2 separate regions of the Mus musculus genome follow, and region 1 is reported to be linked to region 2. The links are microRNA targets in miRTarBase. Many come from high-throughput screens and were not tested one by one. Region 2 holds a microRNA gene; the other region holds the end of a gene's coding sequence.

The links. Region 2 holds the annotated microRNA mmu-miR-3965 (UGCUUAUCAGCCUGAUGUU, at 2,063-2,081, shown strand). A microRNA usually pairs through its seed, bases 2 to 8, with sites in the 3' UTR of a target mRNA and lowers its output. Matches are read on the target gene's strand: a 7mer-m8 pairs with bases 2 to 8, a 7mer-A1 pairs with bases 2 to 7 and ends in A, and an 8mer does both.
Region 1: the mRNA of E2f2 is a reported target of mmu-miR-3965. Seed matches in the 3' UTR shown: 7mer-m8 at 1,528-1,534.

What each region holds. Positions count from the first base shown.
Region 1 is chr4:136,191,906-136,196,237 of GRCm38, reverse strand. It overlaps E2f2 (E2F transcription factor 2), which reads right to left. Exons shown (of 7, transcript NM_177733.7): 7 at 181-3,481. The coding sequence ends at 3,201. Among named protein-coding and RNA genes, the nearest start is that of Asap3, 12 kb to the left of the region's middle.
Region 2 is chr5:134,324,432-134,328,818 of GRCm38, forward strand. It overlaps Mir3965 (microRNA 3965), which reads left to right and starts at 2,023; the gene lies at 2,023-2,091.

The DNA of each region.
Region 1 (4,332 bases), not on the chromosome of region 2:
GGAAGAGAGGACATAGAGACAGGACACATCAGCTGGAAAAATATGTTCCTAACCCCCCGTCAAGGGAGCAGACAGGAAGCACAACAGGCCTGAGGTACGGTTCAATGGTTGGGCACGTATCTAACGTGTGTGAGGGGTGGGAGCCCCAGATCTGCAAAAAGAAATCACACCAAGACAAAGTTTACCAGAGCCGCCATTATTTAATGCCCAATTATCACAACAGAATGAAACTTGCTGGTGGTTCAAGGCAGGACTTTGGGTGAAACCAGGAGGTAGGTGACCCACATGGAGTCCCAACCCAGGGACTCCAGACCTTCCCACCCCCAGGTATCTTCAAAATGATCAAACCCCACAAGACTGCATATTTCCTAGGAGCCAGAGGCTGGCCAGACCTGTAGCCACCACGGTCCCTGAAGAGCCTTGTGGGAGAAGAGACGACCTGGGTGAGGTGGGGCCTCTGGGTACGACGGAAACTTAAGCCCCGGCTTCTAATCAACCCCAGAGGTTTCAGAAGCGTTAAAGCTATAGCACACCGATGGCGGCATGAGCAAACTCTTTACAACACGGAATCTGTGCAGAAGAGAGGCTGAGGCCTCACAGGGAGGGGAAACCACACTGCACCCCCTGAAATAGTTTACAAACTCCCCCAAACTCCCACTCCTCACAGCCACACAGAGAAGGGACTCAGCCTGACATCTTCAATGGTGCATCTCCAAGCCTATTTACAAGTTTAATTCTGCTAAATGCTCTGGAGTCCCCAGGGATATCAGCAGGGGACACTGGTAGGGCTGGGAAACTTCCCTGAAGAAAGTATTCCCCTCAGAAAGAAACTGGTAGCTTTCCCACCCTAGCATGAACGTTTCCCTAGGGCCTAAAAGACATACCACTCAAAACAGTGTTCCAAAAGGGGTACACCCCGTTCTTTTAAAGCACTCTAAGGAACTTAAAGAGGTCTCAAGTATCATTGGCAAGAAAGAGGTGTGAGCTTGTTCCCACGCTAGCCTCGGGCTTCTCCCGGGAGGTCCAGCCCCTGGACCAGGCAGGGTTGATAAGAAAGAGCTCAGAGATCAAAAAGACTGGGGAAGCCTCCATCCATCCCTGCGCTGGGTCTTTTGACTGAACTTGAATCTGGACTGTATTCTTAACCTCACACCAGACAGGAATGGCAGCCCTCTTCTCGCTAAGCCAAGCTCTCCTCCACCCAGAGCCCAAGGCACAGAGGTCAGATATCTCTGTTGGCGCACAGCTAAACGGCAAAGACCAGGAAACAGCAATGCTGTCTCCGGCCTCATGTGCATCAAACCAGATCTCAGGTAGCACCCTCATCACTCAAGGGACCCCCTGTGTCTAGAGCACACTGGGCTTTCTGGGTGGTCTGAGAAACCCCCCTCGCTTGGTAGAGACCAAGGACATCTCTGCAGCAGGTGTATCTAACCTGCAGCACGGGTCGCAGACACCTACGAACACAGCCCAACACAGAGTTGTAAACGTACTTCAAACATCATGAGATTTTTTTTTTTTTTGGTAGCTTATCTATGCAGTTCCTGAGGGTGAACTTTAGAGACGACGAGGTCACATATGTCAAAAGGTTGGACACTCGGTGTAAAAATAGACAAATTTCAAGTGTGTGTGGGGGGGGGTGAGTCGCTGACCACTCCTCGGACAGGACTAAGTTTGTGGCACCAGGAAGCTGACTCGAGGATAAGACAAATTAACCCAAATGGGCACCAGTACATATTAGCTCAACATCCAAACTTCAAATTCCCAGTCAGCTAGCTCGGACCTACCTGGCATAGCCAACTTCATCTTTTAAATCAATTTAATGCTACAAACTTAAAACAACAACAAGCAAAAAGTGCTGCCCCACTGAGCCCCTGAGAAACCCAGGCTCCCTGAGGGTAGGTGGAAGGCCTCTCAGACCCCGTCACCCCTGGGTACACCTCTCTGGACACGTGGCCTTGGTTAAGCCCATTCTCCATGCCTGGAAAGGCGAGGAAGAAAAGCGGACTCTTGCCGTCTCCTGACCACAGGAACCCTGGATGGTCAGTCTATGGGCAGAACAAGAGAGACCAAGAGCTCTTCCCAGATCCCCATGCCAGGAGAGGTGGCAGGCGCCAGCCTATCCCGTCATGAGCTGCTGAGGCCTAGTCTGCAGGGAAGAGCACCCCACCCCTGCCCCCTCACCCCCGAAGCACTCCAGTGGGGAAAGGTGCAAACCTGTCACCAAGCTCCTGTCACATCTGACCTTGGAAGTGAAGTGAGGGCTTTGGGACAGTGGGTGTTTAAGGAATCTTCCCCCTCCAACTGCAACCAAGAAACAAAAATAATCCTCCCAGGGAAACATGGGCAGACCCCAGGGTGTTTCTTGTTTTCTTCTCACTCCTCTCTGCCTCCACCTTCCAGGTCTCTGACCTCCTGAGGAAGGGCATCTAGGAGGCACGGGCGTGGCCTCCTGCTTTTCCCAGGAGCTCTTCTGGGCTAATTCCTGAAGGCCTACATTTACATTGGGAGGCTCAGGAAAGATAAGACATCCAATAGGAAGCCAGCCCCCTTGGCTACCTCCCCCAGAGTAGCTACTGGAACTTTCTCTAGGATGGAGGAGATGGAGAATTCCAAGCCGGTGCCTTGGCTGGGCCTGGCATTTTCTAAAATTACAAAGCCTAAGTGCAATTAATTCAAGCAAACTGGATAGTCCCCTCAAGACCCAGGCACCACTGGGGGGACGGGGGGACGGGGGGCAAGGAGCTGGCCTAGACCCCTGGAAGCCCAGATGTGCGCTTAGGCACTGGGCGTGGGTGGGCCTGTCTGAGGAGAAACTAGAACAAATCTCCCTGCTAAAACTCAGGGTGGACAAACAAACACATCTGAACTAGAAATAAATACAAAGGCGTTAAGTGCTTCTTGAAAAAGTCAGGGTCCCCCTGCCCCTCAGAAGGAGGCAGTGAGCCCTTTCCCTGAACATGGCCACCTGCACCCGTAGTCCTTCATGAAGGGGTCGGAGGTCAGAAGAGGAGGGTCAGGGCTTAGCCCTGATATCACTCCCCAGCCGAATCCTCCACATCTCCCTAGCTGGCCTCCGCCCTAAGGAAGGCTGGAAGAGAGCCGCGCAGACGGAGGGTGACACCTGGTGTCTGGTGTCCCCCATCTGGGCAGAGAGCCTGTCAATCTGTCTGTGAGGAGGTAGACAGATGCAGGACGCTTCAATTAATCAACAGGTCCCCAAGGTCATAGGAGTCGAAGAGGTCACTGATGCCTTCCCCCTCGTCCATGCCCCACAGGTATTCGTCCTGGTCCAAGGGCGGGGAGAAGCTGATCAGGGGGGAGTTGGCCGCCAGGATTGGGGACAGGAACTGGTCCTCAGTCTGTTGTAGAAGAGGGTGTGACAGCTCCAGCATGTTGTCAGTGGCTTCCAAGGGGACGAGGGATGGGGCTGGCGGCAGTGGTGGTGGAGGAGGCGGTGGTATCGGCTGGGGTATCAGTACTGGTTTGGGAGACAAATAGACAAGGGTCATGTCTGGCTGCTCTCCGATGGCTGGCCCCTCCTCCATCTCTTCCACTTAGTGGCCTGGAGACACCCGATCTCTCCAGGCTCCAGTCACAGAAACTCCATTCTCCCGTGTTCTTCTCCCCTCCACTGGGTGCAGTGACCTGCTCCCAAAAAACCTACCCTCTCCCACCCCACCCCTGACTTCTGTATGTAGTCCACCTTGCTACCCTACAGGACTGCTACGGAAACCATTTTCTGGTTCCTACATTTCCAGCTTCCCCAACTCTCCTTACATCATTACATCAGCCCACGACACCCTGATAATGCCTAGCTTTAAACAGCAATCTCCTGAGCTGAAGAAGTGGGGGCAGTTTGTGGTTTGTGCAGAGGACCCGAGCTGGGTTCACAGCGCCTACACCTTGCAATCGGTAGCTCCTGATCCCAGAGATCCGATGCCTTCCTGGGCCTCTGTGAGTACTTGTGTTCATATGCACATACCCACACACAAATAAGCAACAGAAGATAAAATAAATCTTTTTTTTTTAAAGCATTGGCCCTCCCACCCCACCCCCCAAGGGGCCGCCCTTTCAACAAATGTTCCCCGGAGAGTGAGGTGTCCACGTGCAGAGGAGTGAAGCTGGACCTTTAAACCATTTCTTAAAATTAGTTCAAAGTAGACGAAAGACCAAACGCAAGATCTCAATCTATTAAATTCCTACAGGAAAAGCTAGAGCAAACTTTCATGCCGAGTATGGTGGCTTAGACCTCTCATGCTGGCGCTTGGCAGGCAGAGGCAGAAGTACCATGCGGTTGAGACTACGAAACAAGACATTGAAGCAAAGCAA
Region 2 (4,387 bases):
AAGAATACAGAGGCCAGGGAAAAGGTACATTTTAGTCTGTTTTTTGTTTGTTTGTTTGTGCTGTGTTTTTAATCAGTATCTTTTTAAGTTGTCCAGGCTGAGCCAGTAAGTTAACTCAGTGAGTAACGGCACCTGCCATGGAGTCTGGTGACTTGCGTTCGGTGCCAGGACCCACATGGTGGACAGAGAGAACCAAACAGTGTACACTGCTGGCTGGGAACTCAGCATCATCAGCATCTGCATCTCAAATGCTGGATTACAGACACACAGCATCACGCCTGGTGTGAGCCGAGCCTTGATGGAAACCTTGCAACTAGCCATTAAAGAAGAAGGGGAGAGGGGCTGGAGAGATGGCTCAGCGGGTAAGAACACTGACTGCTCTTCCAAGAGTCCTGAGTTCAATTCCCAGCAACCACATAGTGGCTCACAACCATCTGTAATGGGATCTCATGCCCTCTTCTGGTGTGTCTAAAGACAGCTACAGTGTACTCATATACATAAAATAAAGAAAAAGGGGAGTCTGGAAGGCAATGATTTTATGCAAGAATAACCTGTGTGTGTGTGTTTCTGGGGTTCCCTGGCAATCTACAGGTTTAGGGACTCCATTCAAAAAAAAAAAAAAAAAAAGTGAACAACTTTAATCCCAGCACTCTGGAGGCAGAGGCAGGTGGATCTCACTGAATTCAAGGCCAACCGGGTCTACAGAGTGAGCCCAGAACAACCATGGCTACACAGAGAAACCCTGTTTCAAAACAAAAACAACAACAGCAGTAATAATAATGTGGTGGACTGGCAGGCTGGCTCAGCAGGTAAAGCCTCCTGCTACAAAAGCCCTGGCAAGCAGAGGGCGATTCCCAGGACCTACATAAAGGTGGAAAGAGAGAATTAATTCCATGAAGTTGTCTTTGACCTCCACAAGCATGCCCATATCATGTACACACACACACACACACACACCAAAAATTAAACAATTTTTTTGTTTTGTTTTGTTTTGAGACAGTGAGACAGGGTTTCTCTGTGTAGCTCTGGCTGTCCTGGAACTCTCACTCTATAGATCAATTGGCTTTGAACTCAGAGATCTGCCTGTCTCTGCCTCCTGTGCTTGTACTAGTACTAGAGGTACATCCCACCACCACCAGGCAACAAATATATATATATTGTTTTTTCGAGACAGGGTTTCTCTGTATCACCCTGGCTGTCCTGGAAATCACTCTGTAGACCAGGCTGGCCTTGAACTCAGAAATCTGCCTGCCTCTGCCTCCCCAGTGCTGGGATTAAAGGCGTGTGTCACCATGCCCGGCGACAAATAAATTTTAAGGTGAAGCTGAGTATGGTGGTGCACACCTTTAATCCCAGCACTCAGGAGGCAGAACCAAGCCAGTTTCTGTGAGTTTGAGACCAGCCTGATCTACACAGCTAGTTCCAGGCAGTCCAGGGTTACCTAGTAAGACCCCGTCTCAAAAACAAAACAAAACAAAAATTGTGAAGATGCAATTAAGGAACATACCTGTCACCAGCCTTTGGCTTCCACACAAAGTGGAAGAGTGTACATGTGTCCACATGCATATGCCACACGCATGCATGTACACACATAGAAGAGCCTATACGGTCGGGGAAGTGCCACAGCGCACAGGAAACAGAGGAAAGAAACCCCACGTGCTAGATATAGCTATTATTCATAGTCACCATGAATTCTCCCAGATCTAGGAGCAGGTGCGGGTCAGTCTAGAGAAGGAGCCTGGCCTGGATCACAATGGTCCTTCAGTGCCAGCTAAGAAGTTTGGGGCAGACACGCTGGTCGCTGGTCGGGATGCCTGCCGTTCCAGCCTCTACTTCCAAACAGGATTACATCACCCACTCAGAGAGGCCCAACCAAGCTGCCTTTTTTTTTTTTTTTTTTTCCCTAGATAAGGTTTCTGTCTTAGTGTGTTTTCTATTGCTGTGATAAAGATCATGACCAAAAGCTACCAGGGAGGAGGGGTTTTGTTTGGCTTGCACATTCTGGCCACAGTTCATCGTGGAGGGAAGTCAGAGAGCTGCAGCTGAGTGCACAGAAGGCTGCTGCTTATCAGCCTGATGTTCAAGGCTTGCTCAGGCGGCTTTGGTTTCTGATCTTTTCCTTTCCTTTCCTTTCTCTTTCTCTTCTTGTTGCTGAGACAGGGTTTCTCTGTGTAGCTCTGGCTGTTCTGGAACTCACTTTGTAGAATAGGCTGGCCTCAAACTTAGAGATCTTCCTGCTTCTGTCTCCTGAGTGCTGGGATTAAAGGTGTGCACCACTATACCTGTCTTCAACCTGCTTTCTTTCTTGCTTTCTTCCTTTCTTTCTTCCTTTCTTCCTTTTTTCTAAAGAATTATTTATTTTGTGTATATGAGTACACTGTCACTGTCTTCAGAAGTTACCAGATCTCATTACAGATTGCTGTGAGCCACCATGTGGTTGCTGGGAATTGAACTCAGGACCTCTAAAAGATCAGTCAGAGCTTTCAACTGCTGTGCCATCTCTCCAGCCCCAACCTACTTTCTTATACCACCCAAGACCATCTGATTAGAGGTGGCACTGCCCACAGGAGCTGGGCACTCCCACATCCATCATTTGTAATTAAGAAAATGCCCTGCATACAGGTCAATCCAGTAAAGGCAAATCCAGATTCCAAAACTTGGATTCCTTCTTTTCAGATGTCTTATGTTTGTGTCAAGTTGGCAAAAAACTGATTAGCGAGATTCAGCTGTGTAGCCCTGGCTGGTCTGGAACTTGCTATGTAGACCAGGATAACCTCAAACTCGTAGAGATCTGCCTGTCTCTACCTTCCTGTCTCTAGTGCTGTTTTTGGTTTTGGTTTTTTGAGACAGGGTTTCTCTGTGTAGCCCTGGATGTCCTGGAACTCACTCTGTAGACCAGATTGATCTCAAATCCAGAGATCTCCCTGTATCTGTCACCCAAGTACGAGTATTAAAAGTATGTCTCAGGCTGGTGAGATGGCTCAGTGGGTAAGAGCACCCGACTGCTCTTTCAAAGGTCCTGAGTTCAAATCCCAGAAACCACATGGTGGCTCACAACCATCTGTAACGAGATCTGACGCCCTCTTCTGGAGTGTCTGAAGAATAGCTACAGTGTACTTACATATAATAAATAAATATTTTATGTAAGTTATTATATGTAAGTACACTGTAGCTGTCTTCAGACACACCAGAAGAGGGAGTCAGATCTTGTCACCAGCCCTATTTTTTTTAAAAAAGTATGTCTCACTACACACACACTTATCTGGGTTTGACCTTTAAAACTGGCAAACTTGGGCTGGTGAGATGGCTCAGTGGGTTAGAGCACCCGACTGCTCTTCCGATGGTCCAGAGTTCAAATCCCAGCAACCACATGGTGGCTCACAACCATCCGTAACAAGATCTGATTCCCTCTTCTGGAGTGTCTGAAGACAGCTACAGTGTACTTACATATAATAAATAAATAAATCTTAAAAAAAAAAAAAAGATTTACTTATTTACTTTATAAAAAAAATAAAATAAAAATAAAAAAAAAACTGGCAAACTTGAGGCAGGTTACCAGCTCTTGTGGTTGTTGCTGAGGACCAAGTTAGTTTCCAGCCCTCGCACGGAGGACCATAAACATCTGTATTGCCCACTCCAGGGGTTTGGAATCCTCTTCTGGATCTGTGGGCACCAGACATGCATGATGCGGTAGCACCCATGCACACCTGCAGACAAAACATGCATACACATAAAATAAAAATAAGTAAATCTGCCGGGCAATGGTCACATATGCCTTTAATCCTAGCCCTCAGGAGGCAGAGGCAGGTGGATCTCTGAGTTTGAGGCCAGCCTGGTCTACAGAGTGAGTTCCAAGACAGCCAGGGCTACACAGAGAAACCCTGTTTTGAAACGCACTCCCCACAATCCCCTGTGGAGGGGCTGGTGCTGTGACTCAAGAACAGAGCATTTGGAGGCAGAGGCAGGAGGATTTCTGAGTTTGAGGTCAGCCTGGTCTACAAAGTGAGTTCCAGGACAGCCAGGGCTACACAGAGAAACCCTGTTTCAAACAAACAAACAAACAAACAAACAAACAAACAAACAGAACAGAGCATTTGCCCCACATGTGCAAGGCTCTGGGTTTTTCCCCAGCCTGGTGTGTGTGTGTGTGTGTGTGTGTGTGTGTGTGTGTGTGTGTGTATGTGATAGAGAGAGAGAAAGACAGAGATAGAGACATACAGACAGACAGGTCAGTACAGATACATGTACTATTATTAATCTTCCCTCCCAAGGAAGCAACCACAATTTTTAAGGGTGGGAGGAGGCACCTGAGGGCCTCCTGGCTTCAGTTGTCTATGCATTCCGACTGTTCTATCATTATCACGGAATATCGGAGGAAGACTTATGC